Bombyx mori: one gene and its partners. The protein of the gene in region 2 binds, or shares a complex with, the protein of the main gene of each other region. Links are inferred from orthologs where the notes say so. Each region holds a gene or a part of one and is shown on either strand. Other genes may lie near its edges. The genes, in order: DNA primase small subunit, DNA polymerase alpha subunit B and DNA polymerase alpha catalytic subunit.

Region 1 (4,086 bases), on a different chromosome or scaffold from region 2:
TGGCATCACTGCGTTTTCTCATAGCTTCAGTTTTCTCCAAAGCGAATACAAGTTCTTGGAAAATTTTAACAGCCGCTTTCATATTAGTTTCATGTTGGTTATTTTCGGCGACACTATCATCTAATAAACTGTATATTGTTGGTATTTCATCGATCTTCAAATTCTTTGCATTTGCTGACTTGAAAACAACAGACACTTTTCCAGTTTTCGGATGTATACTGAATGGAGACTTGAGCAAGTGATTGAAACCTTTTGTCACATTAACATCTAATCTGGGGTAGCAATATTGAATTTTTATTTCTTCTATAAGATATTTTATTTTTCGTATAACATTTCCATTCTACAAATTGAAAAACATGACAAAATAGAGTCATACATATATATGCATATTTTTTAGGACACAACTTCTAATATGTAGGTTAATCTTGAACTGTATCCTTGGAAAAAAATTTAAGCAGTTTAAAAAACAAATGCCAACGACTTTTCAATGAATTTCTAATTTTTAATGAAGTACCAAATTTTTCTTTATGTCAAAATTTTATTATTTTTTTACCTCTCTGCAATAATTTTCATAAATATTTATAAAAGTGTTCCACTTATTCAATGATGGTTCCTGCATTTTTTTCAAAGTTGTTTCAACCTGTGATTTTAACGCATCATCTGGTATCAACTTCAAAAATGAGTTTAGCTTATCTGTTGCTAAAAATTCCTGATCTTGTAATAATTGTTCAAAGTATTTGTCTATTATATTTAAGGCACGCCTGGAACAAGTATTTAAATATACTATTTTTAATTTATTTATTACTTACACTTCATGTATTTTATATATTAGTAAACTTAATGCCTAACTCATTCTCCTTACGAAAATGAATATCAGATCGAACATGAAACGTGTAAATATACAAGGGAATGCGTAACTTCCTCAAGGGAGTGTTATATAAGTTATGTGTAGTATAAAATTATAAAGTGTAAAAGTTTATTAGTGAAAATGATAAGGACAGCGGTATTAAAATTATAAGTTTGGGGGTGATGTCTTACTGTATACACTTGTAAAGTATATAAAGGTATGTATATAAAAGGGACTTTGTGTCAAATCTAGTCCTGATCTTGATATGTGACATTATATCAAGGTAACATTCTAAGCATTCTAAATTCTGATTAGCATGACCAATGTAAATTATTTTCACATGTAACCAATAATAATACAGTGTTACATCATAATCACTTTTCCCTTAGCCTTAGTAATGATTTTTACTGGTCAAAACTCTGGTAATGTGCTCCAGCAGCTTATGAAAGAAAATAATAGTATTTTCTTATTAATCTTCTTTGGATGGGTAGATCGACTCATAAAAGTAATTTTTAATTTTGCGAGAAGTAATTAACAAAATTATTATCAACAAAATTATGATCATCTATCATTTTCAAAAAATATTTATGTAAATCTCATGTAAGAATATCAAATTAAAAAAAAATGATATAACCTTATACTGGAATGTAAGTTTTCATTGCCAAGATGCACTTTTTTACTTTGGTTTTCACCACCTACGATTAAACAAAGGTAATCGGCAATAGCTCCTCGACCTGGACTATCGAGAGTTCTGGCTTCATAATCTGATACCCAACAGTGAATACCACGCCGACCTGAAAATACCCACAGGATGCTTTGGAACCCGAAGTCATCTGAAATTAGTAAGTCAAGGATGTGAATTTGAATTCAATCAATCATTTTGTCAATTATAAGAATCATGAATCACTTGTATCATGAAAATAATACTATAGATGTGGATAATTGAAGTCAAAATCCATTCACTAGTGGAAATATATAAGTAACTAACTACTACAGTGTAAATATGTTTTGGTTTTCTTTTTTTTTTCTATTGGCCCACAAACATCCTCTGCTGGACATATGGTTTTGTAGTTTTTTTTCGCCACCCCAAGTATGCATGAGATAGGTTACATTTTAATGAGTGTGGTGTGGTAAATAAATATAGAAATATAGAAGAATCTTTAATGGTCTGTAGCTCAGTAAAGTAAATCATGTATTTACCTTTTAAAGCTTTATCAATGATTTCACATGCAATAACCATAAATTTCCAGCATTTTTCACACACTCTAGCTTCTTGACAACATGTTCTTATTTCATCATAGTCTGTTAAATCTATATCGAATACTAGTTCTCGCGATATCACTACAGCGTCATGTCTTCCTACAGAAGGCCTTAAATAACGGAAGAATACCAAGTGACAATAAAAGAGTGTAATATTGCTTTTTAAATGCTAATAAATGAAATTTACTTTATTAAATATTCAAGCATGATATTTTAACTTCATACAAACTTTTAGACATAAAACATACTTTGTGTTGTAAACTGCTCCAACATCCAATTTGTGTGGACATTTCTTTTGAAGAAGGGTTTGTAAATCCTTTTGATGCGAAATCGACAAATAACGGAGGTAGACATCGTCAGCTAAAGTAAATGATAATTCTCTGTTACAGAGCGGTTGAGGCGAACTACCGCATGCTAGCCATCTACAGAATATATTTTGCGGAAATTGCCTGGCATAGTAAGTGGGTAGCATATCAGATAGAATGTTTTCATTGTGTTCGCCAATCTGTACAATTAAATTGATATTAATCAGAAGTTTAGTTTTTTATTTAGATCAGTTTGAATTTGAACTTACCATTTTTACCAAAACAACAACTCCTATAATGACATTTTTTTTAGGGATTTCATGACCTGATAACTAATACCTTTAAGTCATGTCTTATTTTAATTTATATTCTTATTTTTATGAAAAATGATAACCAATATGGAGTGAAATGAAATGAAATGAAGATGATTAATTTGAGACATTAATCAACTGGGATGAAATTAAATGAAATGAGATGAGATGATATCTCTCTATCTATAATCTCAGTCATTTTACTGAGATTATATTTCATTCCATACCATCTCATCTCATTTCATTTAATTTCATCCCAGTTGATTAATGTCTCAAATTAATCATCTTCATTTCATTTCACTCCTTAATATCATTTTTCATAAACATAAGAATATAAATTAAAATAAGACATGACTTAAAAGTCTTAGTTACCAAGTCATTAAATCCTTTAATAAAAACTAATTAGGAATCCGAGACCGAAAATTTGTAGAATCGATTAAATGAGTCGTCTATTAACAAAGGCGGCAATCTGTACATTTGGACAAAAAATTTTTATTGATATGTCAATACAGATTTATTTGAATATAATCGTCTCTTTCAAAGAATACGGTTCAAAACCTGCATTAAATAAAGGTTAATAGTTAACCTGTTATTTATCTAAGATGTCGTTCCGAAGAGTTTTGTGACTGCCAATGGAATACAAAGTCAATAATTCGTTTTTCTGATTTACCAATCATTGTCCAAAAGTCAGATTGCCGCCTTTGATAATAGTCGACTCAAATGTAAAAAAAATTTTTTAACCTACCCGTAAACATTTTTCAACTACCTACCCTAAATTTTATTCAGCTTTGTGTGTGAATTGAATCTTGATTTAGTTATTGATGTCAAAACTGCTGAAATTCTGACTACTAAAACAATATGGAAATTAATAAAGACACCGCTTTTTTAATAGTAGTAAAAATGTCATTTCGTAAGTAGGAACATTAAAAAATAACCGTAAACCCTAATTTAATAAGTAATGGATCTTTTAAAATACTTTTCACATGTGTTTGTGGTTTAAACCACCAACAGTATTTACTTTAATTTACGAAAATAATTATTCGTCTATATTTTCAGGTTCACTGCACAATTCGTATTGCAAGACTTCGGAAAAATTTCTTAATGCATCAAAGGTATTGATCGAATCGTTGCTAAGAAAGCCATTGGCAATGACTTTAATAGCAGCCTGGTTATTAAATTTACTGCTTATATCTACGTTTTTTTCTGTAACTGTTATTTTGATGACCTCAACTATATTTCTAGTAATTGTATTTTTAGAAGGTAAGTTACTATACTACTAATATTAGATACTGAATATTAAAGAATTAAAAAAAAAAATATTAAAATTTCAGACAAGGCTGTAATACTATTTAGAAAACTCTAT
Region 2 (4,304 bases):
GATACTTGTTTCGAATGACGTACAGTATTAGTAGTTTGGAAAGTTAAGCTAAGATGGCTTCTAAAATGTTGGTAGTCTTTAACAGAGAGAAACGATAGTTCAAGCTCGGGCTAATACTTCTTTTTGTAAAAGCATAGAGGCCCCGCGGATTAGTTTGCTCCTATATCTGTGCCGAGGTTCTTAAGTATCCACTTTTTTCGTTTAACCCAATACAGAAAAGAACAGTTTTGATCGTTTGCTCTATCTCAGTTCTTTTGTAGCCCCTGCATCTATGATTTTACTTTGATTCTTTCGGTATTTGTAGCGTATGAACCATGTGGAGTGGTCTAAGGAATATTCTGAGATGGCTCTGTCATCTCCTTAGTAAGGGAACGTACCCATAGTACGTGTCCCGTTTAGGGCGGGGAGCGGAGTCTTTAAAATACTACGGTCAGTCACAGGAGCGGGGGGGTGGCTCAGGTTTTTGTCACGTAGTCGATTTTAGTGAGAGAAATCTCGTATTTTTTCGACCTATATTTGAATATAGCGCACAGTGCTTAGCGCTTTGTAAACTCACACTACATAATTCACTAGTAATTTAAATGTGCATGCAGTCTTGTGCAATAAAGACGAGTATGAACCAATTTTTATTTTTTCAATTTTTGCCTATGTAATGATTAAAAATCATAATGAATTACTACGTGAAAACTAAAGGGGGAGAGGGGGGGGGTCTTGGCATATACTACGAGTGATCACCGTGGGGAGGGAGGTCGAAAAAACAAAAAAAATAGGTCACGTAGTATGGGTACGTTCCCTAACTGTACCACCCGCCGTCGGAACGGTTTGGTCATGTACCTACTTAGAACCACTCCATTCCTCCCTAATGCGATTCCAGTGATCATTATTGACACTTAAAATCTGGCTCTATAGTGAGTACCCCTCCTTGGCATTCTATGAGCGCTAGCGACATAGTTTTGTATTAAACATGTTTTGAAAAGTCCCAAGACCATACTTTCCCATACTTTTCTAATATTTGGGCAACAATGAACACTCAACATCAGGTGGAATATATGCACAGCTACCTCAAAAGCAGAAAAAAAGTGTAGGTACTCTCAAGCAACTGCATACCAAGAGCATATAACCACAGCCGTGTAGTCTCAATTGGTACATAATTAGCAGACTCTTTCACTGTTATTGTCTTTAATTTTAAAACTGAACTCAAACATAACCTTTATAAGAAATCAATTGTTAGATTAAACATTCACCGTTAATATTAATAAAAAATTAGATATATATTTGTGGCAACTAAGACTTACAAAAAATTATAAACAAGATAAACAATATTTGTACCGGACTGGTTGCAGTACAAATTTTCACATTTGTGAGATACTCATCGTTTTACAGTAGTTAGATTCAAACATTCAGCATTACTTATAGCTGGACTGTTTGATGGTTACCAGAATATACTATTAACATGCAAGTCATTTTTTTAACTTAGTTTAGTATTATTTTAATGCTTCTGTGTGATGTATTTCCAATTTTACAATAACAATATTTTATGTTAAATGTCTGTGATACAAATAGACTATAAAACTTACTCATAAGAAGAATGAGTTGATGGCTGCAGACGAGTATGGATCTAGTCATGATCAATATAAAACATGAACCAGAAGCAAACTCGCCCACAAATATCATCAAGTCACTGGTTGATTTTTAATACGCACATTCCATTTTAATTAGTTGTTATTTATCCACTTCCTTTCTTGATGCTTTGTTTGCAATAATGATTTCAAAATGCATTTATATTTAATTTGTAGGGTAGATTATGAAATGTATGTTTAAAATATTGATACAAGTCAGATGCTCTGAAGATGAATCCATAAGCACTCAATGAGTGTAGATCTAGTCACAGAATCAGCCCGGTGATACTAGACCTATACCCATTAACTACAAATGGAGAAAGATCCGTTTTTCTTCAAATACTCTTCATCAACTGAAAGATTTATTAACACATACACAAAATTCAGTATTAAGGTACTAACTGAGAATTAAGATTCATCGCTTAGAGATTTAGAAACAAAAAAACTACGTACATAACCTTGAAACGTTAACTCAAAACTAACACGAAGTTTATTAAAATCCAGTTACATACCTTGGGCGTTACGGCAACATAACTTGACAGTACTTCACTGTCTGGACTATATCAGTATAGGAAATGATTGCACAAAATTTTTGAAATAACGCTACTAACACAATAGTGTTTTAAGAAACATAATGAATATAAGAAGCACATTTCATAAAGTTATTTTCTAATATACTGCAAATTTCAACGTACTTTGTGTCAAAGGATACGGCGAAGTGGCTTTTGCTCCATAAACGGTAAGACTTTTACCGGCAGCTGGTCGTGTGGTTTCTTTAGCGGACGCGTTAGTTCGGCGCTTGGAAAATTCCTTTCTTACGAATAAATCTAAGTTTTCCAAGTTTGGTGAAGCACCGTTTACATAATTCAAACTGAATGCCATCCATTGTTCGATAAAAGTTTCAGCATCAATATTGTTCTCTTCACATAAATTTACACCTTTGGAAAAATGGTTCGTGAAACAACCTTGAACATGTTATTTGTCAATGTTTAATTACAATCACCATTGATAGAACTTATCGAGCACAGGTAACAGAAAAGACAAACCGTTTCTAACCGTTAAACAAGCTTACTTACATTTTAATAAAACATCTTGTTCAACGTTTATGCCAAAAAATTTAAATTGCTCAGTCACCAACTCTTCGGAGGCCATTTTCTGTAATTGAAAGAGCAAATGAAAGAAAAGGAAGCAAAAGAGCGCCAACGCCGATCCGAAAGTTTGCGTCAAAAAAGAGGTTGCCAGAAACGAAAATTTTTAAAACCTGCCATAGAACAGTCAAATCAGTCGTAACTTGTCTTGTCATTGTAAAGTAAATTTTTAATTTACGAATCAGTGACTTTGTGCTGCGTCGCAAAGATTTCTTTTACGTTTTTGTTTATAATGGTTTAATAAACAACTAACTTAACAAAATCAAAAAGCAAGAAACAATGTTCATTTGTTTTAAATTTAACAGTACCTACTTTAGGATATTATTTGTTTTTTACTAGAAAGAAACTCTTCCATAAACCGAATTAAATTCAATTTACCCCAGTTGAAGACCCGCTTCAAAGAGCTATGTTCTTCACTCACTTGTTGATTATTTCGCCTGAATTAGGTTCCGAGAAATATGGATGACCGATACATTGCCAATCCCTTCTGATTTTACCTGTTTATTAATACAAGCCATCAATAGGGCATATAACATGCTGGAACGCCAGAGTTAATGGTGATGATAGTGCAGGGGTAACCGTCAACGAAGAGCTCCAACCATTCTAAAGTACATTCGATGCGATTTCATGCCTCAAGGGTTCTTCTCGCTTCCCATTTCGCACTTCCCGACACTTCAGCTCCATCCAATATCCTGCCATTAATCATTGAAGCTTGCGTAGTGTAAAATCGGGTTAAAAATTCAGTAGATAGTAGGACTTGAAACGAATGGCTGGCGCCCACCCTCCTGATTATGTTTGCCATCAAACGTCCATTTTCCACTATCGGGTCGCCGAATTTCTGCCCCTTTCTGGTCTCCTTTTTTAATGCTTGTGACGTGTCTCAGTGGTTTCTGGAACTTACGGGGCAGACGTATTTGTGTGTCTATAAAGTGTGGTGAGTTTACGCAGAGACCAATACAGCCCATCGTTCGCAGGAAAGACCGATACCCTCCCGTGTCCATTAGTTCCTCACACAATCCATGACCAAGATTTTGCTATACCCCACCAATCTACTGCTGCTTCACAAGCAGCAATGCAGCAGCAAGCGACTTCAAGGGCAGTCATTGTACTATAGTGCACAATAATATAGGTAGTAGAACCGACTTGAAAACCACAACTCGATGTAGGCGTCATTTACGTTGTTGATGTCTAGAGACTCTGGTGACCGTTTAACACCAAGTCGGCCGTGAGCTCGGTCATTCGTCTAAGCAATAAAAATTAAAAACCATTGTCGCCTCGAAAACCGCGATTCTCGGTTCTTTGGCACCGTAGTGACCACGGGGGTTGTTTGTTTATTTTATACTCATATTTATGCCGGTTTTTCCAGGTCCCACGGTAGTAATGGGGTTTCTTCACTTATTTAAGTACGCACACCTTAATGACTGTAAATACGAATGGACTGTGTAAAAAACTGGTAAGTCAAAACGAAAAACAGTCAAACCCTGGAGATCAGTAGCGCTTTTTTTTTGGCTGATGGCCGAACCTCGTATGAGTTCCC
Region 3 (4,127 bases), on a different chromosome or scaffold from region 2:
GCGTTTCATTAAGTTCTTGCTTGATTTCTTTTTCAATGTTCCATTCTGGTTTCTTGATTTTCTTATTTGCAGGTTCATTTACCACATGATTTATCTGTGAGGTTAAAATAATATATTTGTTAATATTTGTAGGCTGTGGCTGTTACACTTTATTTAAACAAAAACAAACTTTACATGTAATAAATTATAGAATAGAGTTAATAGAATGATTGTTGTCTCCATGTTATTATCGAAGGTTTTATGGAATTACTAAGGAGTTGTTTCTTCTATAGCACTGGATATCATCTGGCTCTCTCTCACCCTCCATGCTAACCGGATTGCTATGATGTTCTATTTTAAACAAGGTTCGAAAAGTGTCCACAGGAGATTGGCTATGTGTAGCTCTGGTATTGCTGATGTCTACAAGGGGCAGAAACCACTAATCATTAGGTAGGTAATCTGTCATCATCAATAATATCAAGGATATTTAAAATACAATTAAAAAATATTTAACTTTACCATATTTACCATATTTTTTTCACACTGTACTGCAGATGTGTCTGGCTCAATACTTTCAGTCTGAAATAATAACAAGTTTTAGCTTGCTGTTGCAAATTATTTTAGTAATGTAACATCTGTTTTGTGTAGAGAGAACGATTTTCAATGGGTACATTCTGCATAAATACATTTCGTTATATATTTTCGACGACCTTTTAATGCGAAGTTTACTTTTCAAATTGTGTTACATGAATAAATTACTATTCAGTATCAGCTACTACAACATTTATACTTTTATAAATAATTATCCAATCAGGTTACAGGAAAAGCACAGAAGACTTAAATTTAGAACCAATACGTAACTAATTTAGGTATCGTCAAAACGCTATTTCGACAAAGCGGCGGGATATGATAATTCTCTTATTCTGGTCACTGCTAATTACATACTTTTTACATATCTTTGACATTTTTTGCTCTTCAAGCACCGGACCTAGTCGAACTCGTCGATAACGACAACCGAATTAACCAGTGACACAGCTGGCTGAGTTTCTTGCTAGATCTTCTCAATAGGTCGTGATTCTGATCTAGTGGTGAATTCTGCCAAGAACTGCTCGCGCTAAGGCTAGTGTTGGCAAATTCTCCAAGTATTTGGAATAGCCCCTTAGACTAACAGTTAATAACTCGATACAAATGAAAAAATGATACATGCCTCCTTTTCTTCCTTGAATGTTTTTAGTACAGAAGGTTTCTTGACGTTAGCAGAAAGACTTTTGAAGTAGTTTTGTGCATCTCTCTTACTTGTATCCACAATGTTAGTTTTAGTTATAGGCAGTGTAGATTTTACTACATTTGATGCAGTGTTAGCATCCAAATCAGATATAATATCAGATAAAATATTATCTTCTGAAATCTTTACATCCTGAAAGAAAGAAAAACAACATATTAAATTACTAATAAAAAATTAAGTTAGGATTCAAACATTACCAAGTTGCCAATTATTTGATAATATGTGCAATTAAACAGGGAATTTAGTTTAGAGAAGTAGTCAAAGTTGCTCAAGTACCAAATTAAATTAACCCTGTTTTTACTAGGATTACAGGTTATAAAAATATTTTTTTTTATTAATCTTTATTTCAGAAATATAAGGTTGGATCTATATTATGCAAAAAATTATTAAGTTTTTGCACTTTTCTCTTGGAATCTAGACTATAATTATATTTGTCATAGTCTGTAACTCTATAGAAGACTATAGTTTTTATATTTTTCCTAAAATTATCAGAAGGATGTCCCCGATACATAAGAACTAATTAGTACTTAAAATATCCTATCTAAAACATTATAATCATAGATATCAATGGATTGCATTCTTAAATATAAATTAAATAAATGAAATATAACAAACCTCTTTTTTCTTACTAGGCATGTTACCAATTAAGTTTCGTATATTCCCTTTTCCTGAGGACTGTGCTGCAACTTTGGCCTTCCTTTTCTGTCCTCTGCCTGTATCTTTACTATTTGTTGCTTCATAAGCATCATCATCATCATCAAATATCTCCCTTCCATCTTCAACATAGCCAGTACCATCTAAAAAGTTTGTTACATTAGTTGAATCTTCTAATACATATTTTTCACTCGTTAAGTATAGCCAGTATTGAAAACAAACATTACTGTGTCACTAATGCACATTTAATTTACAGAATGGATGTTTTCTCACTTGAAAATTTCAATTCGGTTTGTAGTCACTTTAAACATTTAATAAATAAGGATTTTGAAAATTTATATGTGAAACTTTTTTGAAAAGTCTAGTTAATATTATTAGTTGAAACTAAAAATTATGTACTGATTTGTAATATGGATTTACCATCTTCTATCCAATCGTCTTCTTGTCGCTGTAGAACTCTTTCTGTGTATTCTTTCTCGTCAACAGTGTCGTACACATTCTCAAGCACATCCACATCGTACTTATGCTTTACACCTTTCCCTTTTAATTGTTTTAGCTTCTCAAACGCCGAGAATCGACCGTGTCGGTCTGTTTTTTGTCGCTTCGCACGCTGAGCAGCTACAAACAGTAAATACATTTTGTTAAATGTTCAAGGAGTTTCGAAACTAAATGCATCCTAGATACAGACTTAAGTATTGCAGTACCTATTGAATCGGCCATTCTCTTTTAATAGCTTTTCTTTTGTACACATATATAAGTTTAAAACAATTTACATTTACAAGAAACACTAATATTTTGATTAGGTTAAATTCTTTTTAGATATTTTGGCGCGTATCCACTTTGAAAGCCTTCAGCTGTGATTGACATTTGATATTTGTATTCCGTTTTGCAACAGAAAGGGCGAGGATATCATACTATACAGTCGAATCTCTTTTCTAAATTAATTAATTAAAGTCTTCATGTTCTACTAAAGGATAAGGTATATGGTGTGAAATTTGCATGTCGTAGATTTCGTTTTTGCCCTTTTTTAGAAGACTTTTAATATGCGAGTTGTTCCCTTTACCTATCCATTTAGAAATAAAAATCTTCTTAGTTTCACAAATTTCGCGCCAATTTGTAACTGTCAAAAAACATTTGTTGTGATGCTTGTGATCGGTGCTGGTGATACATTTGTGATTAGTATTTGAAGACAGCAATTATTCGAATAACATATTTCTAACATAATGGCAATGCGTGATTACACTGCAGATAAAGGTACTTGAAGAAGATCGAGCATATTACCAAAATTATGAACGATTAAATAATTTCAATAAACCTTTACAGAATCTTTCAAGAACTTTTTCGTTGATTTTTGTCAAACTGATGATGAAGGAAAAAAGTATTTTAAATATGCTGAACAACTTACTAAAGTTGCACACAGAGAACAGGTAAGATTGTTCGGTTCATAATAATAATAAAAATACAATGCTATGTTGAGGTTAGGGTAGTTGTAGTTTCTAGTTCTTTGAATGATATAATAATATAATTTCACTTATTTTATTGCTGGGACAATTTTTCCAGTTTTACTATAAGGTATAATTGTTATCTTATTGTAAACTATCGCAGGATCAAGATAATGATTATTAGCAGATAATGAAGATTAGTTTATTTATGTGTATACAGTTATTAGGATAACAGAAAGTTAGGATTAAAAAAAATTATAGCTTGTTGTATGAATTATACTTTAAATTACCGAAATTTTTATGTAACTGAAATCAAACTAAACTAAACCTCAATACACATCATGACTGCCTGCTTAGGGCACACAGGAAGCAAGAAGACGTTAATAACAAAAACTAATTTTTTATTATAGATAGCATTTGAAGTTGACTTGGATGATTTACATGAGATGAATGAAGATTTGACTGAGGCAGTCAAACAAAATACCAGAAGATACACTAATATGGTGTCAGACGTGGTTTATGAAATGCTGCCTGATTACAAATTCAAAGAGGTAAGCATTGATATAATTATGCAAAGCTTAAAGATTGTAGCAAAAATGGGAAAAAGCAATTATACTAACAATAACAGAAAGCATTTATGTGCAAATTGCTGCGTAAATGTACATAATGTATGTGACCTTATAATTTCATTCATTGTATAAAATGAATAGAATATTTTTCATTACGTGTGTTGCACATTACAGTTGTGTTACACAAATATAAATAAA

The links.
Region 1: DNA polymerase alpha subunit B (region 2) and DNA primase small subunit share a complex: the UniProt entries of both Drosophila melanogaster proteins name them as parts of the alpha DNA polymerase complex. The link is inferred for Bombyx mori from reciprocal best matches to the Drosophila melanogaster genes PolA2 and Prim1.
Region 3: DNA polymerase alpha subunit B (region 2) and DNA polymerase alpha catalytic subunit share a complex: the UniProt entries of both Drosophila melanogaster proteins name them as parts of the alpha DNA polymerase complex. The link is inferred for Bombyx mori from reciprocal best matches to the Drosophila melanogaster genes PolA2 and PolA1.

What each region holds. Positions count from the first base shown.
Region 1 is NC_085116.1:10,063,842-10,067,927, reverse strand, and holds the start of DNA primase small subunit, read right to left. Parts: upstream 2,839-4,086; 5' UTR 2,685-2,838; coding exon 2,682-2,684; intron 2,614-2,681; exon of another isoform or gene 2,613-2,613; coding exon 2,356-2,612; intron 2,218-2,355; coding exon 2,048-2,217; intron 1,681-2,047; coding exon 1,482-1,680; intron 762-1,481; coding exon 554-761; intron 341-553; coding exon 1-340. Other genes in the region: uncharacterized protein LOC101739672, read left to right, coding at 3,582-3,633, 3,780-3,983. UniProt on the Drosophila melanogaster protein: Catalytic subunit of the DNA primase complex and component of the DNA polymerase alpha complex (also known as the alpha DNA polymerase-primase complex) which play an essential role in the initiation of DNA synthesis.
Region 2 is NC_085131.1:8,410,533-8,414,836, forward strand, and holds the start of DNA polymerase alpha subunit B, read right to left. Parts: upstream 2,850-4,304; 5' UTR 2,772-2,849; coding exon 2,696-2,771; intron 2,585-2,695; coding exon 2,332-2,584; intron 2,178-2,331; coding exon 2,132-2,177; intron 1,934-2,131; exon of another isoform or gene 1,857-1,933; intron 1,674-1,856; exon of another isoform or gene 1,594-1,673; intron 1-1,593. UniProt on the Drosophila melanogaster protein: Accessory subunit of the DNA polymerase alpha complex (also known as the alpha DNA polymerase-primase complex) which plays an essential role in the initiation of DNA synthesis.
Region 3 is NC_085121.1:13,176,966-13,181,092, reverse strand, and holds the start of DNA polymerase alpha catalytic subunit, read right to left. Parts: upstream 2,817-4,127; 5' UTR 2,639-2,816; coding exon 2,623-2,638; intron 2,537-2,622; coding exon 2,339-2,536; intron 2,062-2,338; coding exon 1,880-2,061; intron 1,397-1,879; coding exon 1,187-1,396; intron 559-1,186; coding exon 499-558; intron 95-498; coding exon 1-94. UniProt on the Drosophila melanogaster protein: Catalytic subunit of the DNA polymerase alpha complex (also known as the alpha DNA polymerase-primase complex) which plays an essential role in the initiation of DNA synthesis.